2 linked regions of the Cricetulus griseus genome follow. The protein of the gene in region 1 interacts with the protein of each later gene in a biochemical or structural test. Links are inferred from orthologs where the notes say so. Each region holds a gene or a part of one and is shown on either strand. Other genes may lie near its edges.

The links. The genes of interacting proteins can lie anywhere in the genome.
Region 2: the proteins of Nub1 (region 1) and Ubd form a complex in vitro, tested with the Homo sapiens proteins (6 studies listed by BioGRID, with this or other methods). The link is inferred for Cricetulus griseus from reciprocal best matches to the Homo sapiens genes NUB1 and UBD.

The regions. Positions count from the first base shown.
Region 1 is NC_048601.1:97,827,996-97,835,615, forward strand, and holds part of Nub1 (NEDD8 ultimate buster 1), read right to left. Parts: intron 6,710-7,620; coding exon 6,592-6,709; intron 4,895-6,591; coding exon 4,727-4,894; intron 1,933-4,726; coding exon 1,874-1,932; intron 1,070-1,873; coding exon 999-1,069; intron 1-998. UniProt on the Homo sapiens protein: Specific down-regulator of the NEDD8 conjugation system. Recruits NEDD8, UBD, and their conjugates to the proteasome for degradation. Isoform 1 promotes the degradation of NEDD8 more efficiently than isoform 2.
Region 2 is NW_023276806.1:228,537,084-228,545,139, reverse strand, and holds Ubd (ubiquitin D), read left to right. Parts: upstream 1-2,435; 5' UTR 2,436-2,978; coding exon 2,979-2,996; intron 2,997-4,304; coding exon 4,305-4,772; 3' UTR 4,773-5,149; downstream 5,150-8,056. UniProt on the Homo sapiens protein: Ubiquitin-like protein modifier which can be covalently attached to target proteins and subsequently leads to their degradation by the 26S proteasome, in a NUB1-dependent manner.

The DNA of each region.
Region 1 (7,620 bases):
AAAAGTGAAAGAAAAAGGAAGAAAGAAAGAAGGGAAGAAAGGAAGAAGGAAGGAAGGAAGGAAGGAAGGAAGGAAGGAAGGAAGGAAGGAAGGGAGAGAGAAAGAAAGAAAGAAAGAAAGAAAGAAAGAAAGAAAGAAAGAAAGAAAGAAAGAAAGAAAGATGAAACTTAGGGTTCTAGGGACTTCCCCTGGAGATCCATGAGCCCTCATGAACCACCTGAGCTGCTAAAGAGATAATGTATCTCGGCTTCCACTCATGCCTCCTGCAGATTGCAGCCAGTGGTCTGTAAGCCACAATGTCCCTGTGTGCACTCTGCAGTATCAGTGACCCCCATCTCTCTGAGGACAAACTCCATACTGAACAAAGCTCATTGTCGCAGGCTTCTCAGCAGCACTCACCATCTGGGGCAGATACCTGTGACGTGGGGCTTTTGTGAGGTGATGGGGACTGTCTTGCATTTGGCAGCCACTGATAGGCGTGCAGCCCCCACCCCCAACTAATTATAATCAAAATCGTCTCCTCACAAAGTCAGCTGTCCCTTGGAAGGTGAAACTGTCTTCCCCGGCAGAGACTCACTGCCGGAAGACTCCCATGGCCCATTTGCTCTCTACATTCAGAAAGGCCTCTACCCTACACTCAGTTTCCTTGGCTGTCCGCAGAGTGTTCCAACCTGGCCTGTCCACCCGTCTCTCTCAGGGTCATAGAGAGAACTGAGTAACCCAGATCCTCCTCTCAGCACAGACTTCCATTCTGGAATATTCTTGTGGCTGAAATCAATGTCTTTCTTCCCCACTACCCAGAGCAGGCCTGTGAATATTTATTGTAATGTCCTTTTCTGCTTTACATCTTCATTATGGTAAACTTTTAACATTAATTGACTTTGGATAATAAATGCAACATGGCCAGGAAGTTTTCAATAGAGGAAAAGCAAGAAAAAAATACAAAAAAATGGAAAGTCACTACTTATACATCAGATGCATTCTTTGCTATGACATACCTAGTTGAAGTTGTTTCTTATTTATTACGATCTTGATGTAATTTTCTTGAAATCCAAAAGTTTCGGCTATTCTATAAAATAAACACAGTATAAGCTGCAGGAAGCAAATCTGTTATTTGTTACCTACTATGAAGACTTGGATCATGATGGCCACTTAATAGGTTTTTACTTAGAAACACCCAGGCTATTCACCTATTGACCTGTAAACACGACTACAATAAAGCTGGTGCAGTGGCAGCTGCTGGGAGCTGAGTGAGCCAAGCTCTTTCTAAACTTGTATCTGAGCTGAGGATGTCCATCTGAGTCACACTCTCCCAGCATCCTCTGAGAACCCTGCAACTGTCCCATACCACTGCCTACTTGTGGGCATTGAATGAGTGATGCTTCCTCATTCTCCAACAGAACACTTGGGTTGACTGGCCTTTGCTGAATGAAGGTCACAGCAAACAATTAGTGCTAAAAAAGAATGGAATTATAAAACATGCTCTGTTCAGTGAAAAGATGGCTCCTGCTTCTATTCCTCAGTTACTCACTCAGGTACAAGTTGGGCACCTCCTCTGTGGGCCCCAAGCTGAACCCCTCTAAAAGCTGCACTGCATCCAAGAAGCTCCCATGAGCAGGTCTCACTCAGGCAGCCATGAGCAGGTCTCACTCAGGCAGCCATGAGCAGGTCTCACTCAGGCAGCCGTGTTGCCTCTTACCTAGCAGTGTGTGAACCCAGAATGACCTCTTTCTTGTCCCACCCTCCAGGTTTCATTTCTTCAGCTGTAAGAGGAAAACAGGCTGGCTCCCTCGCTTACAGGACAGCTTGAGAGCATTCAATGAACCAGGGTAAGAGGGGCAAACCTGTTGGGAAACATAGCTCAGATACTCACTTAGACCTCAGGTCTCTACCAGTGACATGTAAGCGGGTCTCCAATAAACTTTTCTTGTCCTGTTGAAAAAAGACAAAACTAAATGTACTTGAGTGTGACACTTCTTTGGACTGCTACCCTGCATGTAAGGTTGTAGGGTACTGTGACAGGATGTAAACTCGGGTTCTACTTAAGGACAAACCACTGCCTGTACAGAGAAGCATAAACACAGTCCAGCACAGACTGACAGAGTGACCTGAGTACCCCTTGAGTGCTCAGTGGGACTTGTCACATGGCCAGCCATCATCATCAAAGTGCATGACACTGGAGGGATGGCTCAGTGGTAAGAGCATATACTTCTTTTAGAGGACCTGAGCTCACTTCCCAACATCCACTCGAGCAGCTCACACCTGACTATAATCCACCCTGAGGATCTAATTTAATTTACTCTTGGCCTCTGGGGGCACTTTTGTTTACATGCACAAACCCAGAGACACATACTTATATATAATTAAAAATACAAATAAAATCTTAAGACAGGGCTGGAGAGAAGTTAAGAGCACTGACTGCTCTTCCAGAGGTCCTGAGTTCAATTCCCAGCAACCACATGGTGGCTCACAACCATCCGTTATGAGATCTGGTGCCCTCTTCTGGTGTGCAGATATACATGGAAGAAGAATATTGTATACATAATAAATAAATAAAATCTTTTAAAAAAATCCTAAGACAATGAAATGTTTAATAGAATTTCTGAACATTCCCCACTCACCACCTATCACCAGGTACCATGCCCTACACCCCATCCCTCTTCTTCCCAGCCTTGCAACCATTTCTTTTCTATTTTGGACAAAATAGAAAAGTTGTCTACAAAGTTGTCTATTTTGGACTCTTCACTGAAGGAGACCACAGAGCGTCAGGCCTTTTCTGCACGTTTCTGAGGTGGCTCATATTGCAGACTATTAGTGTTGTGTTGTGTATCTGTGCCACCAGCTGTCTTCTGTGGCGTGGGTGTATCTGTTTATCCACACATCCACTGATGGCAGTTAGGCTTCTCCCTCTCAGCCATCATGAGTGGTGCTACTGTGAATGCTCACCAGTCAGTTTATTCTTGCGTTTCATGTGTTATTGGGAGTGCACATGTGTGATGTGTGTGAGATCCAGAGACTGGTGACAGGTGCCCTGATTACTATCTACCCTTCCCTTCCCTTTTCTTTTCTTTCTTTCTTTCTTTCTTTCTTTTTTTTTTTTTTTTTTTTTTTTTGGTTTCTTTGAGATATGGTTTCTCTGTGTAGCCCTGACTCTCCGGAACTTAAATTGTAGACCAGACTAGCCTTGAACTCAGAGTTCTTTTTTTTTTTCCCCTCCCAAATAGAGTCTCTCATTGATTCACTGGCCAGTGAGCTTCAGGGATCCATCCACATCCCTGTAAGCCTATAACACTCAGGGGTTGAGTTACAGGAACCCTTACACACCTGGCTTTTTACATGGATTCTAGGGATCTGAACTTAAGTCCTCATGCTTGCATGGCAGGCACTTTTACTGTTTTGTAACATGCGTTGTTTTTTCCTGCCTTTGAAAAAAAGTGTGTGTGTGTGCGCGCGTGCGCGCGCGTGTTGGGGCAGAGAGGACATGTGGGTGTGCCATGGCACGCCTGTGAAGATCAGAGGACAGGGCTGTGGTCGCAGTTCTCTCCTGCCTTTAATGTGGATGCCGGGGAATCCCAATGACATCAACAGGCTTTCTGGCAAGCATTTTAACTGCTGAACCATCTCACCTGCCCACATACAAATTTTGAAAATGGTCAACATTGTTTGGTTCTGAGAAGGCTGTAAAGTGCTTGCCAGGAAAACATGCTGACACGTACTACCTGAGGATGAGGCCCTGTGACAAGGGGCTAGTCCTGTTCAGCACTTAGCTGACTACGGTCCATCCATCAGAATAGGACTTCTTCAGGGAGTGTCCTGCAACATAGGACTCTAAAACCTGCTGTCTACTTTGACTTCTTAAAATTTATTTCCCGTCACGTTTATTTTACTTGTACAGGTGTTTCCCTCCATGTATGTCTGTGTATCATGTGTGTGTGATGCCCAAGGAAGCTAGAAGAGGGCATTGGACCACCCCGGGACTGGAGTTAAAGATGGCTGTGAGCTGTACTGTGAGGGCTGAGAACTGAACCTAGGTCCTCTGGAAGAACAGCCAGTGTTCTTAACCTCTGAGCCATCTCTCCAGCCCTACTTCTCAGTATCTGTAATCATTAAACTAGAAAAGGTACAAACACACAGCTCTGTACATGGTTTTTTTTTTAATTTTTTGAAGTTACATTTATTAATTTAGCACTATCACACCATGGAGCACTTGTGATCATAAGACAACTTGTAGGAGTCAGTTCTCCTTCTACCGTTTGGGTTCTGAGGAACACATCCCAGTCATTAGGCTTGATGACAAAAGCCTTTACCTGCTAAGCCATCTCACTGGCCCATGGACTGGCCTTGAGCTCACTGTGTAGCTGAGGATAACCCTGCCTCAGTCTCCCTGGTGAGATTACAACGGCACTACCATGCCCCCCACTTCTGTGACTGATGTTTTAAAGAACAAGCTACCTTAAATGTATCATCACCATTCAACACCTGCAGTTCCTTAAGCACTCTCTGGCAGATTTACAGAAACAAGCGCTCACTGGGCACTGTGGCACATGCTCTAGCCCTAGCACGTGGGAAGCACAGACAGAGTAGGCCCTGGGAATTCAAAGTCATCGGGTCTGTATATGAAGTTCCAGGACAGCAGGACCACACAGAGAGACCCTGTCTCAAAAAGCCAAACCGAACAAACCAACAACTCAATTACAGCAGGACATGTGCAGCGGGCGTTACTCACCCTCCTGAGTCTGGGAGGCAGGAACACCTCGATTGTGGCAATCCCGGTTGCTCGGTAGTGCTCATTCCCTGTGCCGCGCTCAACTGCTTTGCAGCGGATCTCTTCTATTGCGTTCTCCACTTCATCTTCACAGCACTCGAGGCGGTCAGAGTACTTCTTAACAAGGTCCTGGGAGGAGAGACCAGGCTGCAGCTCCCCAGAGCTCCAGTGCAAAAATACGGAAAGAAAAAACTCCCCAAAGCAACGTAACTGACAAGCGGAGGCCCCCTCATACTGAAATTCAATCTCAGCTCCCAGGGAGGATTCAGGGAGAAATTAAAGCACTTACAAATAGTAAACATTTCCGTAGCAAAATGAGAGTAACTGGGATTATTCCGGGGGACAGAAAGGAGGGCTGAGACCCTTATGGCCTTAATATATTAGAAAGTACTTTAAGGAGCAGTGAACCAGGGCCACTGAGATGGCTCAACAAGTAAAGGCACCTGCAGCCACGCCTGTTGCCTTGAGTTCAGTTTCTGGGCCCTACATGATGGGAGAGAATCAAGTTCCAAATTGACTTCTAACTTGTGTGTACATGCACAAACACACACACAACTACTTTTTTAAGTTGTGGAGGCTGGAGAGACGGCTCAGGGATTCAGAGCATTTGTAGCTTGCAGGAGACCTGGGTTCAGCTCCTCACACCCATAGGGTAGCTCACCACCATCTGTAACTCCAGTGCCAGGGGATCCAATGTCTTCCCTCTTTCTGACTTCCAAGGGCACCAATCACACATGTGGTGCATACATGCACTAAAAATACTCACACATGAAATAAATATAAAAATCTTTTTAAAACAGTGAACTATTCATTGTCATTGGATGGGAAAAAATTTAAAGCAAAAAATTCTAATTTTTCAAACTGTATGAGATCAAGACAGATTAAATAACCTTTTTTATTTGGTTAGGTTTTTTCGTTTTGCTTATTTTTTAAAAAAATATTTGTTTATTTATTTATTTAGGTTTTTCGAGACAGGGTTTCTTTGTGGCTTTAGAGGCTGTCCTGGAACTAGCTCTTATAGACCAGGCTGGCCTCGTACTCAGAGATCCACCTGCCTCTGCCTTCCCAGTGCTGGGATTAAAGGCATGAGCCACCACGCCCACTGCTTTGTTTTTTAAAGATTTATTTATTTATTATGTATACAGTGTTCTGCCTGCATGTATCCCTGCAGGCCAGAAAAGATGGTTGTGAGCCATCATGTGGTTGCTGGGAATTGAACTCAGTGCTTTTGGAAGACCAGCTAGTGTTCTTAACCACTGAGCCATCTCTCCAGTCCCTTGGTTTTGTGGTGTGTGTGTGACAAACTCCTACTCATAATACATTTTAAATAGTCATTAGGAGAAGATGGGAAGAATATACCAATATCAATGATATTTACTATATTTTTAAAAATATATTCTTTGAGATAGGATCTCAGCCAGGCGTTGGTGGCTCACGCCTTTAATCCCAGCACTGGGGAGGCAGAGGCAGGCGGATCTCTGAGTTCAAGAGAGCTAGTTCCAGGACAGCCTCCAAAGCCACAGAGAAACCCTGTCTCGAAAACCAAAAGAAAGAGAATGAAATGCCAATAATAGGACTGGGGGTGTGGCTTGGTGGTAAAGAGCTTGCCTAGCATGTGTGAAGCCCTGGGTTCTACCTTTAGTGCTGAAAAAAATTAAATTAAATTTTTAAAAATTAAAAATTAAATTTGTTCTTTACTAAAGGTTTTAGTGCTTCTAAAAATTTTCACAGCTGTGCCTGATAATTTCTGGGGACTCCAGACTAGTATTTACTAAGGGAGTTATGACATTGCAAAAGATTTACATTACATATTAAAAGAAAAATACCTTTAAGGCCAAACCAACTTCTTTATTTTCATCAGTATATGGAGGTTTCCAAAGTTGAATTCTATCTTCCCTTAGAAACTGGGTCAATTTTGCTTGAAGATATTTCTTCTGTGCCATCCTTGAAAGTAAAACTGTAAATCAATAAATCACATCACAGTTTAAAATGCTTTACATATTACCTAATCTACGGAGGTGTTCTGCAAAGTAAGTGGAGTTCCCCTCTGTGCCTGTCAGTTTAACCTAAACTACTGTATCTAATTACATGTAAGTCGATATAAAATGTTTCTTTTGTTGTTCTTTTGGTTCCCCCAACCCCACCCCCAGTAAGGGTTTCCAGCAGCCATCGGCTCCCTAGTGCTGGGACTAAAGGCATATGTTACCATACTTAGCTTAAAATGTCTATTTCAAACTTGCTAATATGTAGCAAGGAGTAGTTTACGCTCCTGTTTTCTGTGCAAGGAGGGAACAAACCAGGATATTACCCATGCTAGGTCTGTGCCCTACTGGCCATTTCTTACCCTGTTATTCTCAGAAAGACAAGTTAAGGGGCTGGCCAGACAGCTCAAGGGTTAGAGTATTGGCTGCTCTTCCCAGAACCCACAAGGCAGCTTACAACCATTTGTAACTTTAGTTTCAGAGGAGCCAAGAGCCTTTTCTGGAATACAGACATACATACAGGCAGAACACACATCCACATTAAAAAAAGAATTTTTTTTTGGGGGGGGGCGGTTTCGAGACAGGGTTTCTCTATGTAGCTTTGGAGCCCATCCTGGCCTGGAACTCACAGAGATCCACCTGCCTCTGCCTCCCGAGTGCTGGGATTAAAGGTGTGCACCACCAACACCCGGCAAAAAGATATTATTTTAAGCAACACAATATATAGCTTGTAAATTCTCTCACACTTTGACTGCTTTAACTCTAAACCAAAGACGAAGCTCTCTGGCAATTAAGCACAAAGAAAGAAAAGCTAGTTTGAACTATGAACTATCAATAATAAATGTCTATATAGTTGAACTTTGGAAATTAAAG
Region 2 (8,056 bases), on another chromosome or scaffold:
CTCATGGTGTTGTGAGTAATGTTGGAGGGAAAGGTATGCTTACTGACTGGGGAAGGCAGAGCTCCATGTGTTTAAGAAAATAAAGGAAATGTGTTGATGAAGATGGACCTGCAGATCTGCAGTATCAGACAACAAAAATCATTCCTAATAAAAATCATTGCTAAGAATGATAAACTCGCACTGTACTCTCCTGGCAGCTCTTGGTCAAGGCAGCTCTTGCTACCTGTGACTATGCAAATGCTGGCACCCAGACAGTCACTGACAAGGAAGGACATAAAGTTAAAAGAGTATGTAGCTATAAGCAACATTTTACCATCTACTCTCCCTCTTGCCTGCCTAGAGAAACATGAATATTTAAACGCTTGGGCAGGAACAAAAACGTTCTAAAGAGATATTTATGTTCCTCTCTTTAGCTGTCAAACTGTTGAGGCAATAGGCCTCCCTAACACCCAAATTGGAATTTCCTCAGGAATCTCATGCTGGGAGAAGGAAAAGACTGAAACCTGATGCCAGTCAGATGGCAGAGTAGAGAGCTGGTCTCCTGGAAGGAGATTTCACATAGTTCTGGTAACTTGTCAGGCTACCATGTAGGACAGATGAGAGCCTAAATAATGATTATGGCAAGGACCACACCTTGGTTAAGACAACTTGTTATGAATTCGCCTAGATTCTTCAACACCTACACCTCATGTCAGGGAGTTGAAGATGGACTTGGAGGGTCATTGGACCTCTTTGTCCCTTATTCAAAGTGGTCACACTTAGAAGATAATATGACCACTCTGAATAAATCTCCATTCTCTGCTTTTCACTATTACTGTTTATTTAATTGGCATATGGAGGATGAATGGCCAAGCCTAGGTTGTGAGGGCTTCAGAGCCCAAGTCTTGGCCCAAACAATTCTGAATAAATATACAAGAAGGTAGTGACTTCGGAAAGGAATTAAAAGGTGAAGGAGCTCTTTGCAGACCAAGCTTGGCAGCTTGGCCTTTCTCTTCTGTCAGGCCTTCTCACTATCCCCCTACAAGGCTATTTCCCATTCACCTTCAATCTGAGATGAATTTTTCTGCTGGAGACTGATGATGTTTCTGAATTCCAAGATCCTGTTGAACAGTTGTGGTCAGAAACTGGGATTTTAATCCTTGAGGACAATTGGGAGTTTGAGAGAGATCTGAGAGAAGAGTAGAACCAGCGGCACTCAGTATATTCTACAAGGCATTCTTCCCTTCATGTGAATCCTGTGTTTAAAAAAGTATATTACTCCACCAAATACATCAATAATAGAAGAGCTTCAATATACTTTTCATTAGAATTTCAAAATATTTGAGTAAGCTTTTAGATTGTCTTACTATACCCAGGTACTCTGTAAATCCAAGTTCTTCAGAATGGGACCTTCTAGAATAAAATGAAATTGTTTAAGATCTTCCAGTAGGAGAAGGAGGGATGGTGCCACCCCTAACTAAGAAACTGTTTGTAATTGATACTGCATTGCAAAGGGAAAAATCAGTTTTCTCCAACGGAGTCTCTCATTGGGTAAATTAACCATACTTTACAGTAGGCCTCATATTCAGGAGTAGTTGACATACAGACTAACTCATTGGTATTTTTGTGGGCTTTTTGTTTCATTTTGCTTTATTTTGGCATTTTCTGTCTCATTGGTCTTTTGCTTATTTGTTTTGATTTTCATTTTTGTGGGTTTTTTTTTTTTTTTTTTTTTTGTGTGTGTGTGTGTGTGTGTGTGTGTGTGTGTGTTTGAGAGACACACAGATAGAGAAAGACCATAAAGTTGGATGGGTAGGGAGGTGAGGAGGATGGGGGAGGAACTGAGGAGGGTGAGAGAAATTTCAGTAGGTGAAGGTATTTGTACATAGCCACTGCAAATACTGAAAACAAAGATAATAACTTGGAATTTTACAGGATTCTTTGAAAATATCTAAAGTACTTTTAATAAACAATTTTGAAAATTAGTTCCATGGAATGTCCTGAGAAGCCAGTGACAAGCTTGGAATATTAGGAATATTATTGGTATTAGAGTAATTGGGTAAGTTTCCTGAGGACACACAGCTCACTCACATTCTTGGTCTTATCTAAGCAAATCTCATGAGTGAGGGAACTAGTAGCACCTTCATGTGCCTTTGAGCTCAAGGAGGAGGAAGGTATCCAAGAATCACAGTGGGGAAATCCAGGAACTGTGGTATACATATGGAGAAAGGTGGGAGTCAGGATTTAACTGTTGGCTTTGGATTGTTCTCAAGTAATATGTTTGATTTACAGGTCCTGAGTCAGGGTTGGAAATGTATTAGAGGTTCAAAACCCGAGAATCCAAAGTGTGTGTGTGTGTGTGTGTGTGTGTGTGTGTGTGTGTGTGTGTTTATAAACATTTTATAAGCAAGGTTTTCTGAGCTGGGGAGACATTAAGAATGGCCTACAATTATCTAATTTTATAGACCTGTGTTAAAAGAGGGGAGCATATTTCCATAACATAACTCTGAAGTCCAGGGTCATTTTCTCTTGTGTCTTATACGAATGTCTTATACATTCTTCCCAGTTATTGGGAAAAGGTTCCTGATAGTCTGGTCGGTCAGCACCAATACTACCTGTCCTCTCTGGGTATCCTTGCTTCTAGAGAGGTCTGGAGCTCTTAAAAGCAGTTGGAGAGGGCTACCAAGTATCATGAATTATCAAGCCAGTGAAAGTCAAGGCCAATGGCTGGGCAGTAATAAGGTGGGTTTGGAAGCCCTTATCATAGGAGGGCTATACTATGTTCAGAACTAGGAGTACAGATGGAGTAGACTAAGGGAAGAAGTTTGTACAAAGAGTGTCCATTACTAACTCCACCCCAAAGAAAGCAAAAGGAAATTCTTGAGGACAAAGGTTGTTTCTAAACTGGACAACACAACGGTCTTGGGGATTTCCAACCCAGATACTCACATATAAGCAGACTCCGGGACTCTCTTCTCACTCAGCCTTTCATTACAGACATGGCCTCCTGCATCTGTGTAAGTTGGGGTCTGAAGGGAAAGTATTTCCATGCATTTGGGAATGCAGTTCCACAATTCAGGGGGGTACAGTGCCTGGATGGGGAGGTGGTTGGGTGGGCACAGTTTAAGAGGCAAGGCAGACATTGATAACTGCACAACAGAAAGGAGGTACTCTGGAGAGAGGTTGGTCACTTGGCTTATTGTATTTGTTGTGTATGTACACACACATGCAGGGGCAGGGTCAGAAGACAATCTGCTGGGGTCAGTTCTGTCCCTCCACCACCTAGGTCATAGGGATCAGCTCAGGTGGTGAGGCTTGGTGGCAAGAACATTTTATCAGATAAGCCATTTTGCCAGATAAACTGGGGAGAAATGGCAGGGCACTGTGCTTCAACCAGGATGGGCAAGCTGTGAAATTAGAGAAATAATTTTCAGAGTTCTCATCCTTAAGCTTTTCTCTTTTCAAAGGAAAATTCCCCTAATCTCATTTAAGTTATCAGTGATCTAACATGTTACCTTAAGTGAGACTATGTCCTCATGAAGAGAACCTGCAATCAGGGCAGTGCCCAACACAGGATGACACCTCCACTGAAGGAACAGCTGAAATATCTAGGTTGGGAAGATGTTTTTTTTTAATGGAGTATGAGAAGGTTTCCATAGGGTTTGCAGGCCTGATTCTCCCCCCATCTTCCAGAATTCTGCAGCGAATGAAATTAAACTTAGATATAGTTCCTATCTTCAGGATTAGGATCCTGGTTTAATTAAATGAGGATATTATGCTTTATAACAATAGTTACAAAAAATACAAAAAATATATAAACAATATTAAGCACAGCATCACCACAACCTGGGCATTAACAGAAATTGATGGGAACGTTAATAAGAAAGCAACGGTGTGGAGATTATGACTTAATCAGGGTTCATTCTGAATTAGACATAGAGGGTGAATGAAGCACGGCTGAGAGTATCCTCTGAAGCTGCCACATCTGGGAAATCTGCTTCGGAGTTGTTTAAGAATCTGTATACATCTTTTGAAGCCCTGTATTGTCTTTACTTTTGATATCTGGCTTAGGAGAGGCAAATTAATAAGGTAGGAAATTGGTGATTACATTGGATATATATGTATATATACATATCTCAAGAGGAATGAGACTAATGTTTTAATTTGTGTCATAATATGGCAATTAAACAAAAGTTTCAATAGAGGGAGAGATAAGATTGTTGGGTAGGAGCTGGAGGGCCAAGCAGATGGAACAATGAACGTGAGGGGTAGGGTGTAGAGGGTGGCAGGCATTCTAGGTGACTTCCTTGCCTTTGTTTTCTTAGATTGTCCATTCTGAGAAATGGCCATCAATGACCTTTGACGCTACTGAGAATGACAAAGTGAAGAAGATAAATGAACATATCAGATCCAAAACCAAGGTTTCTGTGCAGGACCAGGTCCTTCTGCTAGGCCCCAAGACCCTCAAGCCCCAGAGAACACTCTCATCTTATGGCATTAACAAGGAAACAACCATCCACCTCACGCTGAAGGTGGTGAAGCCCAGCGATGAAGAGCTGCACTTGTTTCTGGTGGAGTCAACCAATGAAGGGCAAAGGCACCTCCTCCCAGTTCGAAGATCCAGCTCAGTGGCCCAGGTGAAAGAGATGATTGAGGGTGTGACTGGTGTGACCCCCAAGACTCAGATTGTGACTTGCAATGGAAAGAGGTTGGAAGATGGAAAGACCATGGCTGACTACAACATCAGGAGGGGCAGTTTGCTCTTTCTGACAGGGCACTGCATTGGGGGTTGACTATGTGGATGGGGTGATAAGAGGATCAAAGCCCACCCCTTTTAGCTTTTACCAATCACATCCTTTGATGATTTCCAAAAATTAAGGACAATGAAATAAAAATTGGAGATGAGGGGGTGGATTAAAAACATTTGTCAAGTCCGTGATTCCTTGTTTCTGACATACTTCATTGAGTGGCAGGATTGCTGCTGAGAGCGGAAACTGAAATATTAGTCAGGTGTGGTAGTATACACTTTTAATTCCAGGACTGGGGAGTCAGGGACAGGTGGATTCTTGAATAATTGTTGAACCAAATTGAGTCTACTTACAGAGAAGTAATGTATTATGATTTTTTTGCCCCAATAGGATCACAGTCTAATAAATGATTTAGAAATTCATTTACTTATCATCCCCTCTTCTTATTTAAAGATATTTGATATGAAATAAAATCTAGTACCTTCTCCATCTGCTGTGTCTAACACCTAACAAAATGTTCATCTCTGGGTAAGGAAGGGAAGGGGTTAACTTCTGGGTTCTTCTGACTGATAGAACTTCCTTCACCATCAAATAGCTTTCTCCGTTTTCTTTCTATTTGCTCCTCTGTCTCACTCCTGGCCACATGCATGGCTGCTCTCTCATCTTCACCAATTCTAGTCCTTTCTCTTCTTTAAAACTAGTTCAAAAGCCATATCCTGCAGATGGGATTCCCAGCTTAACCAGGCCTGGCACAACTGCCTATACATGCAGATTTTCCTTGTAGTCTTATGCCCTGTGGTGGACACTGGTCACCTGGCTTGTTCTGTATTAGCTGGGCTGGCTCCCCAAGAAGAGAAACTGCATCCTGTTTCTGGAAGCTATTGCTGTAAGGTAGGGCACAAGGACTCTGCCTGATGGCTGAGACCATGGAATTATTCACGGTCTTTTGTAAACTTGGGGAAAACTAAAGGTCAGCACCAGGGTGCCCATCGTCTTATCTCCATGTGGATTCTTCAGGAGTGGTTACCAAGTCTCCTGAGGGTGACGATGTCCCCCTCCTTCATCATGCTTCCCTTCTGTCGAAAGTCTTAAGAGCCGTTTACCCCATCACTATAGTTGTGTGTTTAGATATTTCCGGGATTTCCCCTCAAGAATCCAAATCCTAGCCAGTGAGAGAAAGGGATCTCCCTCTTGCCAACCCTGAACTCCTCGAGGGCAAAATTGCAGATTTTCATGCAAAGACTAACAATATGGTCATCCTAGATCCCCGGACCCTGTGTTCTCCTTAGTCCTCTCACTGTCCGACCTGCCGCCTCCCCAGACTCCTCAAGAACCTCAGTGCCGCTCCCTTCACTTCCTTGTTCCGCAGTGTGTAGATGAGGGGATTGAGCGCGGGTGTGACCACCGTATAGAAGAGCGAGACGAACTTGCCGCGACCCTGGTTGTAACTATATGTGGGTTGCAGGTAAGTGTAGGTGGCAGAGCCATAGAATAGGCACACAGCGGTCAAGTGAGAGCCACAGGTGCTCGCCGCTTTTCGCCGCCCTGCGCGGGAGCGCATACCCCAGACCGCGCGCCCCACGGCGGTATAGGAGACCAGGATGACGGCAGAAGGCACCAACAGGATGACCACCCGCGCCGCGAACATCTGGCGCTCGGTGGCGCTGCGGCCGCCGCGGCAGGCTAGCTGTAGCAGCGCCGGCAGTTCGCAGATGAAGTGGTCCAGACGCCGGGCCGCACACAGCGGACGCGCCGCCAGCAAGGCGGTCTGCGCAGCTGAGTTAGCCAGGCCACCAAGCCAGGAGGCGCTGGCCAGTGCGCGGCACAAGCGGGGTGAGGCGAGTGAGGCGTAATGCAGAGGGCGGCATACGGCAGCGGCGCGGTCCAGCGCCATAACCGCCAGCAACACGCACTCGGCGGAGCCCAGGGCCAGCGATGCGCACAGCTGCGCTATGCACCCGCCGCGCGGTAGCTGCAGCACCGGGCCGCAAAGGCTGGCCAGCAGCGGCGGCACCACACTGGTGGTGAAGCCGACATCCACCAAGGCCAAGTGGCAGAGGAAGTAGTACATGGGTGTATGTAGGCGAGGGTCGCGAATGGCCAGCAGCACCAACGCCGCGTTGCCAGTCAGCGTTAGCAGGTAGCAGAAAAGAACCAGCGCGAAGAGGACGGGTTGCAGTGAGGGCCAGTCCGTAAAACCCAGCAGCAGGAAGCGCTCTGCTGAGCTGTGGTTAGCCTGAGGGGAAACTCCAAGAAGGTTCGGAAGGGTAAGACAAAGAAGTTTAATGCTAGTGGGCTTGGTGCAGGCCTTGCACTTGTGAGGCAGAGGCCACCCTGGTCTACACAGAGTTTCAGGTCAATCATAGCTACACGGTGAGGCCCTGTCTTACCTCTATCTATGACAAGCAAGAATCCCCCCTGTGGGATAAACTGGGCAAGAGAGGAAAAGCCCATGCCCTAATTTTAGTTTCACTACATAGCCACACGCCAGTATTCCTTCACAAGCTCCTCCAAGGGAAACAATGCTTATGTTTAGCAGAGGAGCGGGTTGAGGATTTAGAAAATCATGTGTCACAAGTCCATCGCTAATCAGGTATGCCTCCCTGGCTCTGGATGCACTTCCAGGAATTAAAGAAGAAATTCAGTGTATCTACCAAGGGCTGCTATGAAGACAGTTACTGAAGGACATAATCCACTCTGAGCCTTCTTCCCCCATTTTCCTTAAAAGTGTACACTGTGTAAAAGTCAAGCCTGAGTGTGACTAGATGGAGCAGCATTGCCACTTTGTGTGTGTGTGTGTGTGTGTGTGTGTGTGTGTGTGTATGTTTTCGAGACAGGGTTTCTCTCTGTTTGCTTTGGAGCCTATCCTGGCACTCGCTCTGGAGACCAGGCTGGCCTCGAACTCACAGAGATCCGCCTGCCTCTGCCTCCCGAGTGCTGGGATTAAAGGCGTGTGCCACCAATGCCCGGTTTTTTTTTTTTTTTTTTTTAATTATGGACAGCTAAAGTTGAAGCTAGGAGAGCCTGAGCAGACAAGCCAGTCAAGCCTCACAGGTGACCTTAACTCAGTTCCACCTGCAAACCAAAGTGGAAGCGCTTCTTGAAAATACCTATATTATATAAAAACAGAATGTAAGCTCAGCCACTTAGAAGCAGCCAACAAATATATGTAGCTATAGACTTTTCATGTGAATAGACCAAATACAATAATTGTAACCATCAAATATTTTCTTTTTCTTACCCTCCTTCCCTCCCTTTCTTTCTTCCTTTCTGCCGCCTTTGGTCCCGTTTTTGTACCTGGCAGCCTCTGTGTTTCCTTTCTTCCTGCC